Arabidopsis thaliana: one gene and its partners. The protein of the gene in region 2 binds, or shares a complex with, the protein of the main gene of each other region. Each region holds a gene or a part of one and is shown on either strand. Other genes may lie near its edges. The genes, in order: TIC40, Tic20-V, TIC55-II and Tic22-IV.

What was found.
Region 1: Tic20-V (region 2) and TIC40 share a complex: the UniProt entries of both Arabidopsis thaliana proteins name them as parts of the tic complex.
Region 3: Tic20-V (region 2) and TIC55-II share a complex: the UniProt entries of both Arabidopsis thaliana proteins name them as parts of the tic complex.
Region 4: Tic20-V (region 2) and Tic22-IV share a complex: the UniProt entries of both Arabidopsis thaliana proteins name them as parts of the tic complex.

Annotation. Positions count from the first base shown.
Region 1 is NC_003076.8:5,448,648-5,455,396, reverse strand, and holds TIC40 (hydroxyproline-rich glycoprotein family protein), read right to left. Parts: upstream 4,778-6,749; 5' UTR 4,590-4,777; coding exon 4,394-4,589; intron 4,143-4,393; coding exon 4,025-4,142; intron 3,937-4,024; coding exon 3,879-3,936; intron 3,769-3,878; coding exon 3,751-3,768; intron 3,341-3,750; coding exon 3,031-3,340; intron 2,912-3,030; coding exon 2,805-2,911; intron 2,698-2,804; coding exon 2,634-2,697; intron 2,272-2,633; coding exon 2,187-2,271; intron 2,082-2,186; coding exon 2,041-2,081; intron 1,857-2,040; coding exon 1,811-1,856; intron 1,705-1,810; coding exon 1,610-1,704; intron 1,529-1,609; coding exon 1,425-1,528; intron 1,325-1,424; coding exon 1,277-1,324; intron 1,195-1,276; coding exon 1,141-1,194; 3' UTR 820-1,140; downstream 1-819. Other genes in the region: DNA repair protein Rad4 family, read right to left, coding at 1-72. UniProt on the Arabidopsis thaliana protein: Involved in protein precursor import into chloroplasts. Part of the motor complex consisting of a co-chaperone (TIC40) and a chaperone (HSP93) associated with the import channel (TIC110).
Region 2 is NC_003076.8:22,553,899-22,557,857, reverse strand, and holds Tic20-V (TIC 20-v-like protein), read left to right. Parts: upstream 1-2,207; 5' UTR 2,208-2,233; coding exon 2,234-2,863; 3' UTR 2,864-2,980; downstream 2,981-3,959. Other genes in the region: AT5G55720 (Pectin lyase-like superfamily protein), read right to left, coding at 362-586, 766-904, 997-1,811; BAM4 (beta-amylase 4), read right to left, coding at 3,156-3,308, 3,395-3,463, 3,687-3,756, 3,857-3,959. UniProt on the Arabidopsis thaliana protein: May be involved in protein precursor import into chloroplasts. Not redundant with TIC20-I, TIC20-II or TIC20-IV.
Region 3 is NC_003071.7:10,572,651-10,577,749, reverse strand, and holds TIC55-II (translocon at the inner envelope membrane of chloroplasts 55-II), read right to left. Parts: upstream 2,809-5,099; 5' UTR 2,713-2,808; coding exon 2,318-2,712; intron 2,227-2,317; coding exon 2,124-2,226; intron 2,043-2,123; coding exon 921-2,042; 3' UTR 812-920; downstream 1-811. Other genes in the region: AT2G24830 (zinc finger (CCCH-type) family protein / D111/G-patch domain-containing protein), read left to right, coding at 1-757; AT2G24810 (Pathogenesis-related thaumatin superfamily protein), read right to left, coding at 3,051-3,286, 3,369-3,503, 3,562-3,717, 3,834-3,888. UniProt on the Arabidopsis thaliana protein: Involved in protein precursor import into chloroplasts. Part of the redox regulon consisting of TIC32, TIC 55 and TIC62.
Region 4 is NC_003075.7:16,063,182-16,068,520, reverse strand, and holds Tic22-IV (Tic22-like family protein), read left to right. Parts: upstream 1-1,623; 5' UTR 1,624-1,805; coding exon 1,806-2,171; intron 2,172-2,261; coding exon 2,262-2,324; intron 2,325-2,696; coding exon 2,697-2,771; intron 2,772-2,867; coding exon 2,868-2,918; intron 2,919-3,035; coding exon 3,036-3,095; intron 3,096-3,200; coding exon 3,201-3,263; intron 3,264-3,669; coding exon 3,670-3,705; intron 3,706-3,790; coding exon 3,791-3,883; 3' UTR 3,884-4,084; downstream 4,085-5,339. Other genes in the region: FLDH (NAD(P)-binding Rossmann-fold superfamily protein), read left to right, coding at 1-296, 392-532; AT4G33355 (Bifunctional inhibitor/lipid-transfer protein/seed storage 2S albumin superfamily protein), read right to left, coding at 953-962, 1,075-1,424. UniProt on the Arabidopsis thaliana protein: Involved in protein precursor import into chloroplasts. Imported into the intermembrane space via the Toc translocon. May be involved in the import pathway used by proteins without a cleavable N-terminal pre-sequence.

The DNA of each region.
Region 1 (6,749 bases), about 17 Mb from region 2:
TAGAACTTTGTTGACTGCTACTCTAGAGGCTTGTGCAAGCCTACAATTCTTACTTTCACTTCTAGACTTCATCAAGAGAAACCTAAGCATTAAAACCAGAAAGACAACGGTAAGACAATCCCAAAACGGAGTCATCATAACTCTTTGCAACTTTCATCAATGATTAAACTTTAACAATATAATATCCAATTCCAAAGATAATGTGTAATGTTCTCGCATAGAGTTCTTGAGGTTACATTACCTAAGACTAAGAAAGAGACAATATTTACTAAAAAGACAAAAGCTTTCTGAATAATCATGCTCACAGAATATCACATACCGTCAAACATTACGATTTTATAACTAAAACACTCTTCAAATGAATACCAAGCAAGGATGGTTTTTTCTCCTCGATTTTCTCAAGAGTCAGGGGATTATAAAGAACGGAAATACAAATTTGAAGTCACAAGGATACTTACCCACGACTCAATCATGCGACTCACAGCCGTCGGAGGCAGACGTATTCGACGGAGCCAAGGATTTCACGCGCCAATTCTCCCGACAACGACCGACGTACGGAATACAACAACAACAAAAAAAAACTCCGACTCCGATAGAAGTGGAACGATAAGGGTCATTGATTTCTTTAAGATGGGGCCATCACTTCATTAAACCGCTTCGATATCGCCACGTCACTTCTCCTTTTGGATATTAAAAATAAGGTAAAATTCCAAAATAAATCACAACTATTTAAAATTTGCGAGAAAAAAACTTCAATTTTTTAAATTGCTAAAACAAAATATTGGCAGATTTATTCACACAATCTCAAACAAAAAAAATTGAGGTTTTTTCAAGCAAATTTTGAATACATGAAGTTTATTTTGGAAATTTTCCCTTAAAAATAATAATTTGCTCTTCAGTGTCTTCATAGACTTTTTTTGGTAAGACAACAAATTCTATTGTATAATATTCATACCAAACAACAGCAGCGGCGTTTTCACACGACTCCAATTCCCGACCGCGTTTAAGATTAACATGGTACACAATTCTCTGATCTGACCAAAACTGAAGACTCTTTGCAAAAAAAAAAACATTTTTTTCTCCCTACAAAAAGCTAAAGACAATGTGACATTTTTGATAGAACCAAAGACGTGAGCTTTTTCAACCCGTCATTCCTGGGAAGAGCTGCGATATCTTGTTGAACACATCCATTACCTGCAATCAATGTATAATAACCTCAAATTTCTTAAAAAAGTAATCGCCTTTTTGGGCAATGGAGAAGTGGCAGTATTATTACCTCTTTGTCGTTTTGGTACTTCATGATGTTCATTGGGTTCTCTGAGCACTGCAACAACAACAAGAATGTAATTGGTTTCTGTTTTGTATGAAGAAAGAAGTGGGGTAAAATTAAGCAATTCTCTTATTCAGGTTAAAAGAAAACGTACTTCCATTAACGCTGCTTGGACTCTAGGATTCTGGAATGCCATGGCAACATCAGGGTTCTCCATGATCTTAGATATGACTTCTTCTGGAGTTAGTCCTATTTGATCTGACAAATACAGATTCAATCATTGAGTATCAGACCTATTTAACGTACTATTAACTTGGTACAAACTGAGATTTGTCTTACTGAATTGTTGCTTCACTTCAGGACTATTCAGGTCAAAATTCTTCAATGTATCTGTCATTCGCTTGTCCCATTCACCACTCCCACTCATATTATTCCTAAATTCATGAAAAGAAACAAACAAGAGTATTTCTTAATTACATAGTTTAGACATTCTTAAAAGCAATGGAAACAACTAAATTGTTCGTAAAATGGAGCTCTTACAACATGTCCTGTAGTTGTTGACGGTACTGAGGATTTTTAAGCATCCCTACAAAATTCCAAGCGGAGACAATAAGTACCAAACTGTATTTTAAATTTAGATAACCATTGGATCAACCTATAAACGAATTACATCATTCAAAAGCTAGTCATGTAACCTTTAGTCTTTAGAAATATGTAAAAATGAGGACTAATAAAAGAATGATAGCAGGATTAAATATTAAAAGACTTACATTTGAAAGTTTCTGGGTTCCTCATCTCCTCAGGCAAGTATCTGCATTTATACATGCAATGTTACCAAATGTCCACTAAGCAACCAGTTTTAAAGATAAACTTAATGGATGCATTTAAAGACAATGTGCTAGGGAAGATGAGTTACGGGTAAACCATCTTCTGGACTGTTGGATCTTCCATCATTTTCTCTAAAGCTTCTACAGATAAACCCGGCCCTCCTTTCCCACCACCTGTGTAAACAATAGACAGACTCAGGATTCAGTTTTAAATTTAGAATAAGGAAAAGAGAGACAATAACGTGAGCATATAAGAAAAAAGAATCATAACACATGAGATATGAAACAGATTGCCAAGGTAATATCCTGCAAGTCTTATATGGTTATACCAATACAGATCAACGACTAGCAGAAGGACAAAAGTAACGGAGTAGATCCTTTTGAAGCCAACTCATTCCTCTTTATCACCAATTTCATATCTTCCTTTGTTTATAATTGTTGGCATATGCTATAAAATAAAATTGAAATCCGTAGCCTTAATCATGAATCATGCACAGTGCGCTGATAGTGATGAAAACTGAAATTCAATAACTCACCCAAAGATTGAAAAACCTCTGAAGCAGTGGCACCATTTGCCGGACCAGCTCCATTTTGCAAGACCTTCACCCAGAGATCAATAAGAGAGCATAGAAGGTTAGCAAAACTATGTCACGTTTTTAAATCACCACTTGGTGTGCTGTGGAAATACAAAAGAAAACGAAACTTACATCCTCAAACAAGCGAGTTTCTTTGGGGGAATTAGTTTCAGAGACTTCTGCATAGTTGCTAAATGGGCTTTCTTTTGTGGTTTCCTCGGGTGAAATGTCTTCAAAGGCTGCATCCAAAAGTAAATCAGCTTCCAAGTTAGAAGCTTGGAAAATGAGAAAGGAAGAAAGTCAAAATTGAGAATACAAATGAAAAGACGTTGATTTCTGAAACAGAAAAAGAATCTACCATAGTTCTTTTCTTCTTTCTTCTCTTTGCTTGCCTCTAAGACAACACTTGGCTTATCCACCTCTATATCCTTTGCAGGTGTAGGTTTCGGTTTAGTTGAAGGAGGTGTCTCTACTTTTGTCGCTGTCACATCAACGGTAGCACCTGAAGACTGGGATTGAGATTGGAATGGCGAGGAAGCAGGACTTGTTTGAGGAGGAAATGGAAACGGAAAAGGTGATCCTGATGGGAATCCAGAATTATTAAACTGGCTATTTTGCGTATTCATTTGGTTCATCATCGTCTTCATAGCTGTTTGCATTGCATATTTCTAAACCAAAGCAAAAAAAAAAATCCAAAGAGAGTAACAGCCGGTTAGAGAATAATGAGAGAAAGCAATGACAACTTGTATAATATATTTCAATCAAATACTGGAGTTGCGAAAATGACTATAAGTCTGAATACCTGAGTTGCATCACTAAAACCATAATGGTATGTAGGTTACCATCTACGAATCAAGTGACTACCCAAAAAAAGAGAGGCAAAAGTTCGATGCTTATATAAACGGTTCAACAAGTGTGAGCAAACAGTTCACCTTGTTAAGATAACCAGTTTAGTGAATAAAACTATCTCAGATACATGAGCACAATACACTAGAGTTGACATGAAGCATAAAATCGTGGTTCTGCAACAGACTAGAGAACAAAAGTCCCGTAAAACCAGAGGGCCAAGTATCTGTACCTTTAAATTTGAAGTTACCTGCAATGCCATCAGAAAAGAAAAAAGGTCAAGCACTTATTAATCAATATTGAAGCAAGAAAGAATATTTATAGAGGAAAAAAAAATTAGGAAGGAATCTTGATACTCACATATGAGAACAAAGCTGATAGACCAACACCAACACCAATCCAGAAAAGTGGTGATCCTCTACAAGAAAAAAGAAAAAACACAATTTAATAACCAAGAATCAAACGACATACAAACTAAGCACATTGTCCAAAACCAGGAAAATTACATGGTTGATGAAGATGGTGGTGGCACAGGCACACTAGGGGAAGCAACAGAAGTTGTCTGTTGATCACGACTCGAAGAAAATATACTTGCAAAAGCTTTGCTTCTCTGTTTCACAACCACTGCAAATCGAACATAAACTTAAAGTAAACAATTCTAACAATGAATGGTTTCTACAAGAATTCAAATTGCAAATTCACAAAGTGTGGATTTTTTTAAGAGATATAGCAATTCATAAGCTCATATTAAACCAGTCGAAAAGGGTTCGCAATTTGAGTTTCAATAAGATAGATAAAAGTAATAAACTGGAAATTTTTCCGGAAAATTTTGGCATTTGCTATAATAGAGTGTCGAGTGGAATTTGCAAACTAACCGATTTCTCCAGTGTTCTCCGGACGCGAAGAGGGAGATTGAGATTGAGCAGAGGCAGATATTTTGGAACACCGGAGGACAATATTAGGAGTCCGACGAGAAAACCCAGTAGGGTTTTTCAGCGAGGAAGTGAAATTGCATCCAATTAACAGCTTTGGAGAAGAAGCTGAGCAAGAAACTAGGGTAAGGTTCTCCATATCTAATTGTTTCTTTGGGAGAAAAAGAAACAGAAGAAGGAGAGCCTAAAACAAATTCTGGTGGAGAAGATGAAAGATATGATGAGGAAGAAGGAAACGAAGAAGAAGAGATTTTGGTCTAAAACCACGAGGTTTGAGTTTAGCACTAGACTTGGATCCAGTGTAGCTAAGTGTACTGAAACCTTTTTACAAATTAACAGGTGGCGATATTTTCACCGTCAAGATCAATGAGTTTTATTTATAAACCAAGGGTGTGATGTGAGTGAGAAACTCTTTCGAGATTATTGCAAAAGCCATCCCCCACTTTTTCTTTTTGTTATGTTATAGCCCGTATCTATTTTAAGAATCAGTGTACACTCATTTTTGTAGCAGAAAATCAATGATGTTAGTACTGTGATTCAGATTTTTCTATATACTGTGTTCTTTTTCTTTTTTTCATCCAGAATTTTTCCATTGTATTATAGGTTGTGAAATACAAAGGGTGGAATACAAATTTGAAACACAAAGCCGGCGGAAAACAAAAATATCTCCGGAAACTAAACCTAAAGAAGGGAAAACTTAAGACGAAAAACGAATAAAATTACGAACTATGGAAACAAGGGGAACCACAGATGGATTAGTCCCCAATTAAGCCCATACATGAGAACAACAAAATTGGCTAGGTTTTTCGTTGTGTTTCTCGTCCAAACGAATGAGACTACGCCCAAATGGGACTAATCCATTTGTAGTTATACTGTTGTGTTTTTCGGATTGTCCAAAAAATTGAATACTTAGTTCAAAGCTCACAATGAACAGGTTCAAGAGCCTTACGCCTTTAACATTGATTTAGGATTAGAGAGTCTGGAACCGTTGCCGAGTTACATAGTTTACACATTTCTTATTAGAAAAGAGTTTTAGTAATAAAGAAAGATACACTTTCATATAGTTTCTGAATATTATTATGGAAGTGTAAGTCTCCTATATGTAACTCGTTCACCTTCATCATCAAATTGGTTTACACAGTTTGTTCCATATGTCATTCCCAAAGTACATTGTTCTGTCAAATTATTCCACCATGTGGTAAACATCGAATAATGCTCTCTTCTATTTTCCCAATTTTTTGTGAATTTTCCCCAATTCGAACATAAAATGACATTAAAATTCCTAACTCAATATCTTTGTAAGAAGAAACCCACTCTTGGTTGGATACATATCAAGCATCCAAAAAAGATCACAAAGTAATCTTACAAATCAGCTACGTTTAACAATATCGAAGACAAAAACAGAATTCATAGCTGCTTCTCAGACAAAGGGCACAATGATTCCACATATGAGTGCTTGAGAAAATGATAATGTTCTTCAAGATTTAAACTAAGAAAAATATCGAACAAGAGCTCTACACTGATCTCTTCCTTGATCTAAAACACAAAGGGAAACAAATCCCCTTCAAGTATTTTAGATCAAAGTGTCATCAAGCAATACATATAGCTCAAGAACTCTTTCTTTGGATTAAATCAAGAAGAACCACATCACATTCTCAAGCCCATCTTTTCAGTGTGGTTAAAGCAATATAATCATCATAGAACAGCCAAAAAAACAAACCAATTTTTTTTTTTAAAACAACAAATTTAGAAAAACTGAATATGAGAAAAAGCTGCTTCTCAGACAAGGGCCAAGGTTGTCCACATGAGTGAGCTTGAAAAACGTGAATGTTCTTCAAGCCTCAAACCATGAAAAATGTTGATAAGAGCTCGACATTACTCTCTACCTTAATCTAAACCACAAAGGAGAAAAAGAATCCCCTTCAAGCAACTTAGATCAAAGTGTCATCAAGAAACTCCGAGATCAAATCTAATCTTTCTCTGGTTTGAATCAAGAAGAGCAAAATCACATTCTCAACCCCATCTTTTCAGTGTGGTTAAAGCAAAAAGAATCATCATAGAGCAGCATCAAAAAGCAAATTTTCACAAAACCTTTATTTGAGAAAAGGTTAACACTTTATCATAGAAATTCGAAGATCTAAAATATCCAAACATAAGATCAGAATTAAAAACATAGGAAGATGTCGAATCTCGAGAAAATGCTAGAATCCACGGGAAAAAAAATTCCCAGAATGCTACATGTCCAGAGACTCCAAACCATCAATGAAGATGTTTGATTTAGCATCGGAACATAAGATTT
Region 2 (3,959 bases):
GAATAAAAGAAACTAACAATATACGAATAATTCCTAATCTTATGTTAACACTCACTAAAAAAAATGGGAGTATATATAAAATTATTAATGATGAGTGTCAATCTTAGTTTTATCCGATGGAAAAAGGTTGTTAAGTAATTTTAATGTATTTATAAATAAAAAAACTGACGAAACTTTGTGACTCGTAAAAGAAATTTTTTGGTAAAGAAATTGACAATGAACAATTGTTGTTTGGGTCTATGATCATCATCACATTCAGTACAAATCCTATTTACGATAACAATAACCACAACAAGTAGAAGAGCAAAAAAGAAAAAGAAGGACAAACACTAGATTTGGTCACAAGCTTATGTTTGTGTTTTTAACAAGCTTGGTCAATTTCGCAACTAAGAACACCTACTGATGGATGTGTGGTCTTGAGAAGTGAAGCTGGTCGAGCTACCATACTCGAAAATTTCGCGTAGCTCGGAGAATCCTCTTTCCCTGACGGTGTAAAGAAAGCTCCGTTAACCATTTCGTCTCCTTCTGATTTCCAGTTCCATTCCTTCCATTCTTCGTCTCCATCTGCACTCTCTCGCTTTGTAACCTGCGTATAGGGCATGTGAGTTTAGAAGTATGGAGCAAACATTTCCGTCTAGAATCTAATCCATATAGTAAGACACATGAAAATCAAATTTCTAAATGATTAGTCGACTATGAATTAGATTGTACTAATTGTGAGGTTAAAACGCTCTTAGTTTTGTGGAGCACATGTCACGAACGTACCTCCTTGGTGAACTGATTATTGGAAGCTATGAAAACATTTCCTTGGCTAAAGATCGTTGGATTAGCACTTCCACCAATAGCATACATCTTCCAGTCTCTATAAATGTTATTCACTATGTGAAAATATCCATGCCTACACCTACACATTGGTATTTTAAGCACGAATATTTTGGTTAGCTTATAAATTTGACATTAAAAAAAGAAGAAAAAGAAATATAAGATTGTACTAACCTTGGCATTCTTTGGACAAGTCCTTCACCAAAATAGTTAAACGCGATCGTAACTCGCATATCCCGATCACCGGAATACTCATCACTATGGCCCAAAAGCATGACTTCATTATGATTCAACATGTAACTATTCGAAATCGTTATATCCGTGGATCCATTCACCGCATCAATAAGCCCATCGTAACATTTCTCTAACGTACAATGATCAATCCAAATATCTCGAGACTCGAATATCGATATTCCATCTCCATCCGAGTATCCTCCCAACGACGATAAAGCATTCCGTTTCACGGGAACACAATCGTGAATATAAAGATTGTTTATAATAATGTTACTAACTTTATATAAAGTTAAACACGGTCCATAAGCTATTTGTACGTTATTTCCTCTACCATCAATGGTTTTGTATGAAGCTACTTGAAGATCTTGTTTTAGTTGTATTACCATGTCTCGATCAAAAATGATCCATAGAGGTTGATCTTGTGTCGCAGCGTACCGTAATGTACCTGGAGTTGGATTTAGAGGATTGTCGTCTCCTGAATCAGTCACCGTGTAGAACTCCCCGGCTCTACCGCCAATTGAGTCGCGTCCGAATCCAACCGCGCAATCCGCGAGGTTTTTGCGGTTGTCCTTCCAGTTTTCGTCGCATCTCCAACACTCATCGATTGGATTTCCATTGGCTGAGCAAGAAGACGCTGTTGAATTTGATGTCACTGTCGTTGATAGTCTCCTTACTATTGGCGGTTTAGGAATCGCAAATGCAAACGCAAAAGAAGTGTTTAAGAGAAACAAGAAAAACGTACATACAATTGACATTATATGTTGTCTTAAAAAGAGATTAAAACCAACTAACAATTTCACTATGAACATTATGTTTATAATTTGCTCCAATATATATATGCAAGAGACATTGAAGTGCACTAAAAAATAAATACGGAGGTAATTAAATTAGGTGAAAATTGAAAGAATTGGGTCCAATACAAAGGCATTACGCCGTTTTATACCGGTGGATTTTGATATTTAAATATACACAAAAAACAAAGACAATAACAGAGGCTATTTAATTGTTACCTTACTTCAAATAACTACGTACCGTTTTATCATATTAGAAAGATAAGAAGACGACACAATGTTTTAAGCTAAACTTTTAAAACAGAGTGGAGTTTAGTTTATTATCCTCTCATCATGTGTTAAGCAGTCTTTCAGTTTTGTGTGAAGTGAAACAAAAACAGAGCAAAATGGCAATAATATCTCAGTTTTTTGCTCCATTACCATCTCTCACCGGAACCCTAACCCTAACCGGTCGTTCTTTTCTCCCTCTAAACCTTGATACCCAATTCCCAAAACCTAGACTTTCCAGGGACAGAGCCGCCACACTCGTACTCCAATCCAAGGGTGATGATTCCGTCGATGCATCGGATCGGATAATCTCAGCCGTCTGTTACTTCTACCCATTCTTCGATGGGATTCAATACGGCAAATTCATCATCACACAGTACCAACCTTTTCAGATTCTCATCCAACCTTTGTTTCCCGCCATCAGAGCTTTCAAGAGCTTCCCTTTCAATGGGTTTCTTATCTTCATCACTCTCTACTTCGTCGTTGTGAGGAACCCTAATTTCAGCAGGTACGTCAGGTTCAACACGATGCAGGCGATTGTGCTTGATGTGTTGTTGATTTTCCCGGATTTGCTTGAGAGGAGCTTTAATCCTAGAGATGGGTTTGGTTTAGATGTGGTGATGAGTTTGGACAGCACAGTGTTCCTCTTCTTGCTTGTCTCTTTGATCTATGGATTCTCTGCTTGCTTGTTTGGTCTGACCCCGAGGTTGCCTCTTGTTGCCGAGGCTGCTGATAGGCAAGTCCTTTGATTCAATAATATCTTTGTATGTAACACATTTGCTGTGATTAAACCTTCTGTATTGGATCGCTTTCTGATAATCAAAACATACAATGTAACTTTTTGATCCAATGAAAAAGGTTTCTGCAAGACTTTTGCAATAGAGATAGAACAAAATGAAGAATAGAAACAGAGAGAGATTTTATCATATAACAATTTTTGATTTGATTAGTTCTCCTCATCACATATCTGAAAAAGCAATATGGTGAGGAAAGATCGATTCTGTAACAAAAGACAAACACACCAATGGGTGGTGAGTGTGTTTACATATCTGCACTCATCTGTCTAATGAAAGGGACAAAGTTGTTCCAGTTCTCGACCCTAAAGATCTTCTCATTCATTCTGCAAAACGTAAATGATCTTAGAGTGTCGCCATTCGGTTGCACACAGTTCTCTCGTATTTGCCTTAGTCCCATCTGTTGCAGAATTCATATAGAAAATGGTTAATAACCACCACTTTGACCTCAGACGTATAAGACTAAAGCATGTGCAAATAACTCACCTCATCAAATCTTTCGCTTGTGTTTCTACCAGTCACATGTATTGTCCACTTCTTCGAAACATCATGTATCTAGCAAAAGAAAATGTGATAATGCTGATTTGTTCATGTTCTTATAAGGCATGCTTAATTGTCTAATGTAGCAGCGCAGTAAGAACACAGAGACTAGACTAGTTTGAAGTGTCTCTACGGAAGTAAATAGTGCTTCAACAGTGACCGGTCTAAATACAAGTAACATACATACTTCATATGAACATAATTGAATTCTGGATCAAGGGTTTACGAAAGAAAGTACCTGTCTACGTAATCCTTCAGGGCTGCAAAGATATTTCTCAGGTATTTCACTATCTGCCATATCCAAGCAGCTGAAAAGATATGATAGATTCTCTCGTTAGTGAAACTGGACCATGCAGCTTCTGAGAATTATGTACATAGTAAAAGAAAACTTCAGAAAAAGGCTCTCACGGGATGTTGAGAGCAGCACCATGACGAGACAAGACGGAAGCTACAGGATCATAACCATCCCTGAGGGAGGTGTTGTAATAACCTGCAGTTAGTTCAGCGGGGT
Region 3 (5,099 bases), on a different chromosome or scaffold from region 2:
GGAGGAGGAGGATGAACAACAGAGTGCTTCAGATTCTGAAGATTCTGTTTCAAGTGATTATGATGAAGGGTCTCCACAAGGCATAGGCTTTCTAGAAAGCACAAATCTACCAAGAGGTGTCCAAACTGACACTGCCTTATTTGCTAAATGGGAGAATCATACTAGAGGAATAGCTTCGAAGATGATGGCAAGTATGGGTTACCGTGAAGGGATGGGTCTTGGCGTCTCTGGCCAAGGGATATTAAATCCAATCTTAGTAAAAGTACTTCCAGCAAAGCGGTCACTGGATTATGCTCTTGAGCACATTAGGAATGGAGAATGTAAAAGCGAGAAACAAAAGAAGAAAAGGAGCAGAGGTGGGAAAAGGAAGCGTGGGAAGAAGTTTGCAGAAGCAGCTAAAGCAGCGAAACAGGAAGAGGAATCGAAGCCAGATTTGTTTAGCTTAATCAATGAACAAATTTTTCCTACCCGCCATGAGAAAGTACACAGCGAGTCTGTAAAAAATAGGCAAAACAAAGGTCCAGTAGACAGGAAAGCTTTGGTTGAATACCAAGATGAAGTCAGAGACTTGAAGTTAGAAATGTTGAAACTAGAACAGATGGTGAACAGAAACAAGAAAGATCTAGTTGTTTCAGAGGCTGCGACGAGAAGATTGAAAGAAGTCCGAAAGGCATTGGCAAGTACATTAGCATGTCAAGCAGCTGCCTCAAATGCTATAGTAAGCAAAGAGAATGAGAAGAAATGGCTCAAGTTTTAGAACATAGAACTTTAAACCAGTTTAACAGAAATTTCATGGTTAAACTGTAAGATTGATGGCAAACATTGGAACCTTCTGAATTATATAATTGCGTTTACAAGCAAAAATTTATTTCATGAAATACATATTGTTGGAAGAAGAGGAAACATGACACTATACATTTTCATAGTCTTCTGTGTGTTCTAATGAAGTTATTGGTGTTTAGATTTATAGCTCTTAAGCAGGTATAAGCTGCGGCTGAGCACAATGCTGCTGAACCTAACAGGACAGCCTTCCACTGTCTACTAACCACCAGAATGGCCAAAGCCGTCAAAGCCACTGCCGTGGCAGAGAGGATATTTTTCCAGAGCTCAAAAGATTTGATCACATTGCTGCAGCTTCTACAATGAATAATATGTCTGAAGTACCGGTTAGCCAAATTGGGAGCATGCATAGTCCCAATTCCGCCTTTTGCAGGGTAAGAAGCAGAGAGAGCTGCAATGAGCCCTGCCGGGGCATGTTCCACGACAGGAGGGACTTTGGGGAGAGATATGGTCCTATGCCCGAAATGGTAAGGCATCCCATGACCAACTTTGTCCATCCACTTTCTATATTCAGCGACCCATGTGTCCGATGACTTTAGATTCAAATACAAGTCCTTAGTTGGTACTTTCTCCTTCATCAGAACCTCATTTTGAGACGATAGAAACCCCATGTCTTGTTCAAAAACCTTGCAGGCATTCTGATGCCAGAACCATTGAGGTAACACCGAAACCAAAGGCGATCTTTTTGTGACCCCAAACCTAACAATAAGCATAGACTTCCCTTGCCCTGTAGGTCTACAAAGAAACAGCCCTGAAAAATAGTTCTTCACTCCATCCTTCCCCTCGAACTCTCGATTGTTCTGCAGAACACAAGGAGCATCAAACCGAAGTAAATTACTCCCTTTCCCACCTTCTTTCTCTCGGCCCCAAGTCCCTGCGAAACCCCGATTACTTCGCTCTGTGACCTCGAAAACCAAAGGCTGAGCATCTTCTCTTTTAGCAGTGAAATCCGTTCTATCATGAGAGATAGGAACATGAGCAGGATCCATCAGATTCTCTAAAAGAATGGAATGGTCATAAGGAAGCTCATGAGTAGTCGAAATGTCGAAAAAACCGGGTCTAGCGAAATTCTCAAACCAAGGAAGCTTCTCAGGGTTTGGAGGTGTCTTTGTTGACATCCACACCCACACAACTCCTTGTGAATCCTTCACCTCATACGTCTTCACACAAGCAGCCTTTGGAATCTTAGCACTTGCAGGAAGCTGTTAGAAACAGAACCCAAAACCAGTAAGTACAGAGTAAAGAGAAAATCTCGAAATAGCAAAAATCAGTAAACAAAGAACCTGAGGAATCTTGACACATTTGCCCTCTCCTTCAAATTGCCAACCATGATACAAACATTCCAATCTCCCATCAATCAATTGTCCTTCAGACAACTTAGCCAACCTTTATAAAAAAAAAGACAAAACTCAATTTCAGATTCCTAAACAAAAGTACAAAACTAGTGGTTGTGGTTTTGCTAGATGATTTATCTTACCGATGAGGACACCGATCTTCGTAACAACGAAGTGTTCCTTCACCGTCTTTATACAAAACAATTTGACGATCGTAGACGGTGAGGCCAAGAGGCGCATCTTCAGGGACGTTTTTAGTTAAGTACAATGGATACCATTCCTCTGTCCAATCATAATCCGCCACCTCAACACGTTTCTCTTCTTCAGGGTTTAAAAGAACATCTCCACCTCCTTCTGTTTGATCAGATACGGCGGTTCCAGCGACGGCGGAGCGGCGGAGGAGACGTAGACGAGGCTTTGTGGGTATAGTGCATGTTGATCTGTGGTTGTGGATTATTGGTGTTGGTGTTACTTTAGTGAAGAGAATCGGAGAAGTGGGTGTGAGTTGTAGAGAAGAGCTTAGAAATGGAACAGCCATGGCGGATTCTTCACTAGAGAGCTCGAATCCAATGTTAGGTGTTGTTTGCCTCTTCTCATAAAATATATCATAAGGTTGCTTGTTCAACCATTGGACCTCGTTCCACCACATACATAGATAGTAGAAACTTTGGCTAAACGACGTCGTTTATTTTTACGTTATTTAAATGTCATTTTAACTTCTTTTTATTTTATTTTTAATCTTTTAAGTTTTAACATTAGTCTTTTTTGCTTTAATACATTTCATAGTGATGAAAAAAAAACATAAAACTATGTTAATAGTGATTAATTATTTATTCATTGTTGATAATAATAACAATAAAAAAGGCTATACTATGCCTAAGAACAGAAACTGATAACATAATTAGCACTAGTACATGTAAATCTACTCGAAGCATAATCGTACACATAGCTATACGCAGTGGGACAAGCTCCTTTAAATATCTTCGAGTATTTCGTCGGCGGGCAAGTCTCCGGTTTACTGAAAGCGCCGGTGCAACAATACTCCGGTTTGTTAAAAGCCTCACAAGCACTCTTACACGCCACAACACCCGATGAGCCGTTAACGCGTAGCTCTTTTGGACAAATGGCATTCACGTCCGAAACACATCCCGCGGTTTTACAATTGCCTGAGCCACCTTGTGGTGTGATTTTCACCTGAACGTTGTAACCGTCGACGAGACTCACGTCGTAAGAATCTTGTACGGTGTATTTCTTTCCAGAGGAGCCGATTCTGAATTCTGCTAGTGTGGCTGGTGGTGCTCCTCTTGCACCGGTGCATTTTTACATTTTCTGGAACCAGAGGCGTTGAAGTTGCAGCCCGTTCGACCCCAGATTCGACCAGACCAACCTGGAGAAACGGTTAAGTTTACAGAAGAACCTGAAGCTAAGGCAAATCCGCCGCCGCGGAGTAGTGTGCGGTTTGCGGTTAGGATTCCGGGCCACACAGTAAAGTTGCAGCGGTTTGATAAAGTGAAGACGGTGCCGGAGACAATAGAAATTGTACCTTGAAGAATATACAATTAAAAAAAAATTACTAGGACGGACAACAAAAAAAAATTATCAGATAAATTATTAAATCAAAGTAGTCATCTTAAAATGTTGGAAATGTTTTATGTATACATGTGGCTATGATGAAGGAGAAGAAGAGAAGATGTAATTTGGAGAAAATAGCCATTGTTAATCTGAGTATTGAAAAGTTGAAGTTGTGATGATTAGTGAAAGTTGATGGTGAGGATCCTCTGTTTATAGTGTTTTTCTTTTCTTTAGAAACAAATCCATTAACTTATTGTTTTGGATACTACTACCATAAGTGACACTTCATATTTTTATTTTTTTTACTTTTAAAGTTTAATGAGATTTTGTTTCTTATTACATAAAAATCAACTTTATTAATCTTAAGGAAATCTCCGTAAGCATTGATGTTTTGGATTTTACACACATTAAAAATTAAACATTATTTTATGACTGTTTATTTTTTATATTAAATATTTTTAATAACTATAAACTAATACTCATTGATTGTAATCTAATAAATTTAATCATTGCATCCTGAACTTTGTGATTTATAATATCAGTCAATAAAGAAGAAAAGAAAAAAAAAACTACAAAATTAAAGTGGAATAAACTTAAAATGATTAGAAAAAGATGGAGTACATTTTTTCTATTATTTTTTCACAAAGCTTTAAACCTAACATTAAAAAATTTGCTTGTTTTGTTTCCTTCGAAATTATAAGATTATTGCTTAATTAGGTTATTGAATTCGAGTCCAAAGCCACGACCCCCAGGTTTTAAAATCCAAATATCTCCGTTGCTTGTTTATTTTTGTTCTATATCGAGTTTATTATCTAAAAACGACAAACCTTTTACTGATTTCCACCATTTCTTGTACTTTTCAGGTTTTCTGAGACATGAAAGACAAAGAATTGGCTTATCAACAGAAACTATCAACAAATAAAGAGTTTCTGAAGCACATTATTAGATCCTTTTGTACATTTTTCTATTTATAGATTCTCTCTTCTTTTTTTGTATGCAAAAGTGACATATACTATAACAAGTCAAAGAAAGATGAATTCAATAAGCATGAGTGATTTTTTTAAATCTTCAAAAAGAAATATCTGAAAGGTACAAAAAAAAGTTTTCTGATTTTTGTCACAATAATGGAGAAATTCATACTATTTTAGGGTTTCTTACCCATAAAATTCACTGCATGCAGTGATTGGATTCACCACTTTCAAATTCTTGTTTTGTTTGTAAAATTGATGACTCGATCTCATGGATGCATGCATAAGAGAGTAAAGAGATTGTCATTAAGTTCTCCTGACTCAACCATCACTATCTCTCTCTCTCTCTGACACGAACGCACATGCATTTACAGTTTTCATTTAT
Region 4 (5,339 bases), on a different chromosome or scaffold from region 2:
GCTTTAACGGGAGGTTGCCTGGATATATTGGCTCTGGGACGGATAGATACTCCTTCAGCCATGTTGATGATGTTGTGGAGGGTCATGTTGCTGCAATGGAAAAAGGTAGGCTTGGTGAAAGATACTTACTCACTGGGGAAAATGCTTCTTTCAAGCTTGTCTTTGACATGGCTGCACTGATTACTGGAACCAAAAAGCCAAACTTTAGCATTCCATTATGGGCCATCAACGCATACGGATGGTTATCTGTTTTAATCTCTCGGGTTACAGGAAAGCTTCCACTTATCAGTCCTCCGGTGAGTTTCAATTGCATTCATTAGTTGCCCACATATTATAGATTATCTTATTAGGTATAGAATAATCTCAACTCTTAGTATTTTGTGATGAACAGACAGTGACAGTGCTGAGACATCAGTGGTCATACTCTTGTGATAAGGCTAAGCTGGAACTTGGTTATAACCCTCGAAGCCTAAAGGAAGGATTGGAGGAGATGCTCCCTTGGTTGAAGAGTCTGGGCGTCATTCACTACTGAAATTCAAATTTCCCATCTTTCAGGTATTTCGAAGAATAATATTCCCTTGAATTCAGTCACTATGATGAGTGATGACTACATTTTTACTTCTCCCGTTACACTTTTAACCCAATCGATTTTTATCTTGTTACAAAACTGCTTCGTTTTGATCGTGTATGTCAAATAAATGTGAAACATTGTGTGCAAATGCTGATGATCATATTTTAAGATGTTGAGCTACGTGTGAGAGTAGGAAAGAGGGAATATGTAAATGTGGGAAATAATCACATTTTATCTGCCAAGAACTATATGATTACATCTATAACATATATGATCAGAAGATAAATACTAAGTATCCATATAATTTGTTCATGATGGTTTTGATCTTTTAGGATATCCACTTTATTGTAGCTGCATGGCCGTTGGTAGTCAATCTTCTTTTCAGTTTATGCTGTTCAGTGTTCACAAAACAAATTAAATAGGTCAATTAGAGGATTATGTAGTTAGAAGCTCTCACAACTACACATGTTTCGGCAATATTAAAAAGAAACTGCAGTAGCTACCTGTTACAGTCCACAGTCTTAGAGAAAGGGACTCCTATATTAACACCACATTTAGCAGGGAGTTGTTTGGCAAAATCATCATTAATTCCAGGGATTGTATTAGCTACACTCTTCAAGCAATTACAAGCTACTTGTCTATCGGCTTTCTCAGGCGCTGCGGCTTTTAGACTATTAAGTCCGTTGCAGCACATTGGAGACGGATTTCCTCCAGCTTTTAGATAAGGCAAACATTGTGCTAAGTACATGTTTACCTGCGGACATGCTATGGCTTCTCCATGATACGCAATCCCCAATAAAATCGTAATCACAAGTAGTAACATTTTTCGGGTTGTAGTAGTAATGTTCCTCATATTTTTCAGTTAACGAGAGTTTTAACAATTTTGTTTTCTTTAGTGTGTTGTTTGCTTGATCTAGTAAGTATTTTATAAGGAGGAGAAATTTGGAGGAAAAAAATGTCATCGACATGAATTTTGAGTGACAAAAGCTTTTTGTAAGTCATGTCATGTGTTTAGAATGGTGTGGAAGTTGAGTTTAGAAAGTTAATAAATGCTTTGTCACCAAACTTTTGATCAAGGGCCATATTAAACGTAAACTAAAACCAATCAAGTCCAATAAAGCCCAAATAAAAAAGCCCAAACGAATTGCTCTGAAGCCTTTTTCTTCACTCTCTTCATAGTATCAAAAATTGCTTCTTCTTCTTCTACTTCTTTCTTCTCTCTGCAAATCCAAAAATGGAGTCATCAGTGAAACCCAATCCTTTCCTCTCCTTCTCTTCTTTCATTCACCACCAGTGTACCCGCTTCAGCTCCGACCTCTCCGCCCGAATCGAAGACACGAAACGATTCGCCGAAACCCTAGCTACTCGACGTTTCTCTCTTCCTACTCCGCCGCCTTTCGCCTCCGTCTCACAATCCAAGTCTGGAACCCCGACGACGACGTTGAGTCCATCTCTTGTCGCTAAAGCTCTCGCTGGGACGTCGGTGTTTACAGTCAGTAACACCAATAACGAATTCGTTCTTATCTCGGATCCTACCGGAGGCAAGTCTATCGGTTTGCTCTGTTTTCGACAAGAGGATGCTGAAGCTTTTCTTGCTCAGGTTTCGCTTTTTGTTGTATTTTTCTCCTCCGAACTTTTTTAAAAAAATGTGAAGTTTCTGAGCTCATAATTCTCTAATATACTCCTTTAGGCGCGACTTCGGAGAAGAGAATTGAAAACCAATGCGAAGGTTGTTCCCATTACTCTGGACCAGGTAGTTCCCTTTCCTTATGATCACTGCATTAGATCAATGTGGAAGAAGCCATTGGTTAAATCAAATGAAACAAACAAATTTCAGGAGCTCAAATTCTAAGTAGACTTGTTCATGTCTGGCCTCATTTTAGTTGTTTATATTATACGGTAATAGGAACACCTGTTGGCAGTTTGAATGAACGGGAGATTGTGTTCTTGTGCACGTAGCAATGTTGACAACATCGTCACAAGAAAGAATGCAACGATGGCATGATTATAATCCCTCTAATGGCTTGGAACTTATAAGTTATAACTACGTTTAGGGAACTTTTTGATGTTATTTGCGTAATCGTGGTAGCTACATTCCCAGAAGTTAAGATGATGTTGTTTACAGGTGTACTTGCTAAAAGTTGAAGGGATTTCCTTTCGCTTCTTGCCAGATCCAATCCAAATAAAGAATGCGTTAGAGGTTGGCTCATGCTAAACAGACTTTTAATTATATGTGTCTATAGCATTTATTTGGCATTTCAATCTTATCCATAAGCTATATTTTCTTGCGTCTCAGCTCAAATCCTCAGGAAATAAGAATGGGTTTGATGGAGTTCCGGTTTTTCAGGTAAATTGATATACTCATTTTCTGTGTTTTTCTATTATACCAATATGGATTCCTTATGTTTTGGTGTTTTTGCTTTGTTTTCTCTTGATATCTATCTGTTGTTATTGGCCTCTACAGTCTGAGCTTCTTGTTGTGAGGAAAAAAAATAGACGTTACTGCCCTGTATATTTCAGTAAGGTTGGTTAGTTTCTTCTCCCACGTTAAAGAATACTAATAGATCTCTCATAAGCCAAAACAGAGGAAGATAACTCTTACTTTCCTGTTCTGCGTGACCACTTTCAGGAAGATATAGAGAGGGAACTTTCTAAATATACGAGAGCATCAAGAGGAGATCAACAAATTATGGTAATGATTCATACCTACCTTCTATGTATTTGAATCTTCGATAGGCCACGTAAGATAGAAACAAACACCTTGATCTAAAGACATGGTTTACTAACAAGTGGGAGTAGCTAGTAGCTGTGTTGGCATCATATGTAATTTCTAGCATTTTTTGTGATTACATGTTCTGCAAACATATAACACCATGTTTTCAAAGGAACAGCGAGGGAAAGGGAAAAGTCTTAGAAAACTTTAGAAAGAGCGGAATTCAGATTGTACATGCCTTCATATATCTGAGTTAAAATGAATTCCAAGGTTTATCGTTATCAAAGTTGCATATCAGAGATCAATATATAAAGTAATTTCACAGCATTGGTTTTGTTAAGAGTTTTCTTATCTTCACCATGGAACTAATCTTTTTGTTTTGCAGGTTGGGAGTCTGGAAGATGTGTTGAGGAAAATGGAGGTACTCACGCTTCTTCTTTGTTTAAAGAAACCTTAAAGTATGAAAACCTGGTAGTCTAATAAAAATCTGAATTGAATCAATGTAGATGAGCGAGAAGAATTCAGGTTGGGAAGATGTAATATTCATTCCACCGGGAAGAAGTTATGCACAACACATGCAGGATTTGATCAAAGAGTAAAACCATAATAGACACAATGTGTGTATTTTTACTTGATAAAAAAAAAACAGCCTCTTTTGAGATTTTGCAATATTATCAATTGCCCAAAGAGCTCAACACAGTCCCAAAATTTAGTTTTCTCCTCTCCTTTTACCACTTAAACACATCATCAACATGTTACTCGTGGTTCTTACATCCAGAAAAATATATTTGGCATATACGGATACCTAAATCAAATAACATAATCTTGTTTGTTTTAAAAAGTGGAGATGTACGTTATTCATCTGTCATTAGAATGTAGTATCAGCCTAATTATTCAAAGGAGGTTGAGGCCTCTAAAATGATATGTTGGTTTAAGCTAATTATTGATCAAATTTGGTTGATATACGATTATTAAAACTAAGATGTCTTACCAATACTTATTTTCATTTTCTTTTCCTCTCATCATAATCGCTTTGACATCTCAGCTTAATGATAATGTGATTATTTTCATCCTTACTAATTGTTACTGCCTTAAAAAAAACAAGTTGAAGTAAGAAAAAGAAAAGGAGATGAGATTGTTTCAAAAGCATTGATCCTTTCCTGAAGCGTAAGTAAGCGATGTTGACAGCAGAACTAAACTTGTTGCTTGCTTGACTTCCTCCGTCGTCGCATATTGCACCTACTAACATTTTTTCTCTTCTTTATTCTTCCAACCAATTGTAGCCTATGGTCTTTTGTACCAATTTTTCAAAAGTTGTAGTTGGTAGAGGTTTTGTGAACAAATCTGTAACATAATTTATTTTCTAACATAGATTGCATCGTTTTCTGATAAAGATCATCAAATTGTGGAAATATGTAGTTTTTTTTTAGTTTTTTTTTTTTGGGCGGAAATATGTAGTTTATTATCCTACTTTTGATGACATTTTCCTTTATTCAATTGAGCTGTAACTACTACTTTATTTTATTTTTGTATTGTGTTAAGTTGTTGTATAGTCTTTATCGGAGATTACATGTTCTCCGAACTTATGTAACAGCAAGCATTCACAATTTGTCTCATTATTTACCAAGATTTGTGAATAGATAAAGTGGTAACAAAAGTCAATGTCCTGGAGCACCATTAATAGTAGAACCTTCAAATGACGGTAGATAACTTTTAATGAAATCCCTTTTGGGTTTTGCATTGGATGAGATAAAGTGATATATGTAGTAAATAAAAAGGATCCCTTACAATATTGTAATTTTGGTCCCATGTTTGGAGGTGAGAGCAAATACGTATCTTAAGGCATACGTATCGCAAACTCATGTCATTATCCAACCACAATCGTTGGCGACATATCTTTGTTTAATAATAATACATCAGGCTTGTGTTTGAGTAAAGAAAATCCTTTGACACGTCCAATGTAAACTCTTTTAGACGTTTTTTTTGTCCTACTCAAAAAAACTCAACCTCTACTTAAAGTACTAATTACCATGTTTTTGTTTTTTTCTCTACCCT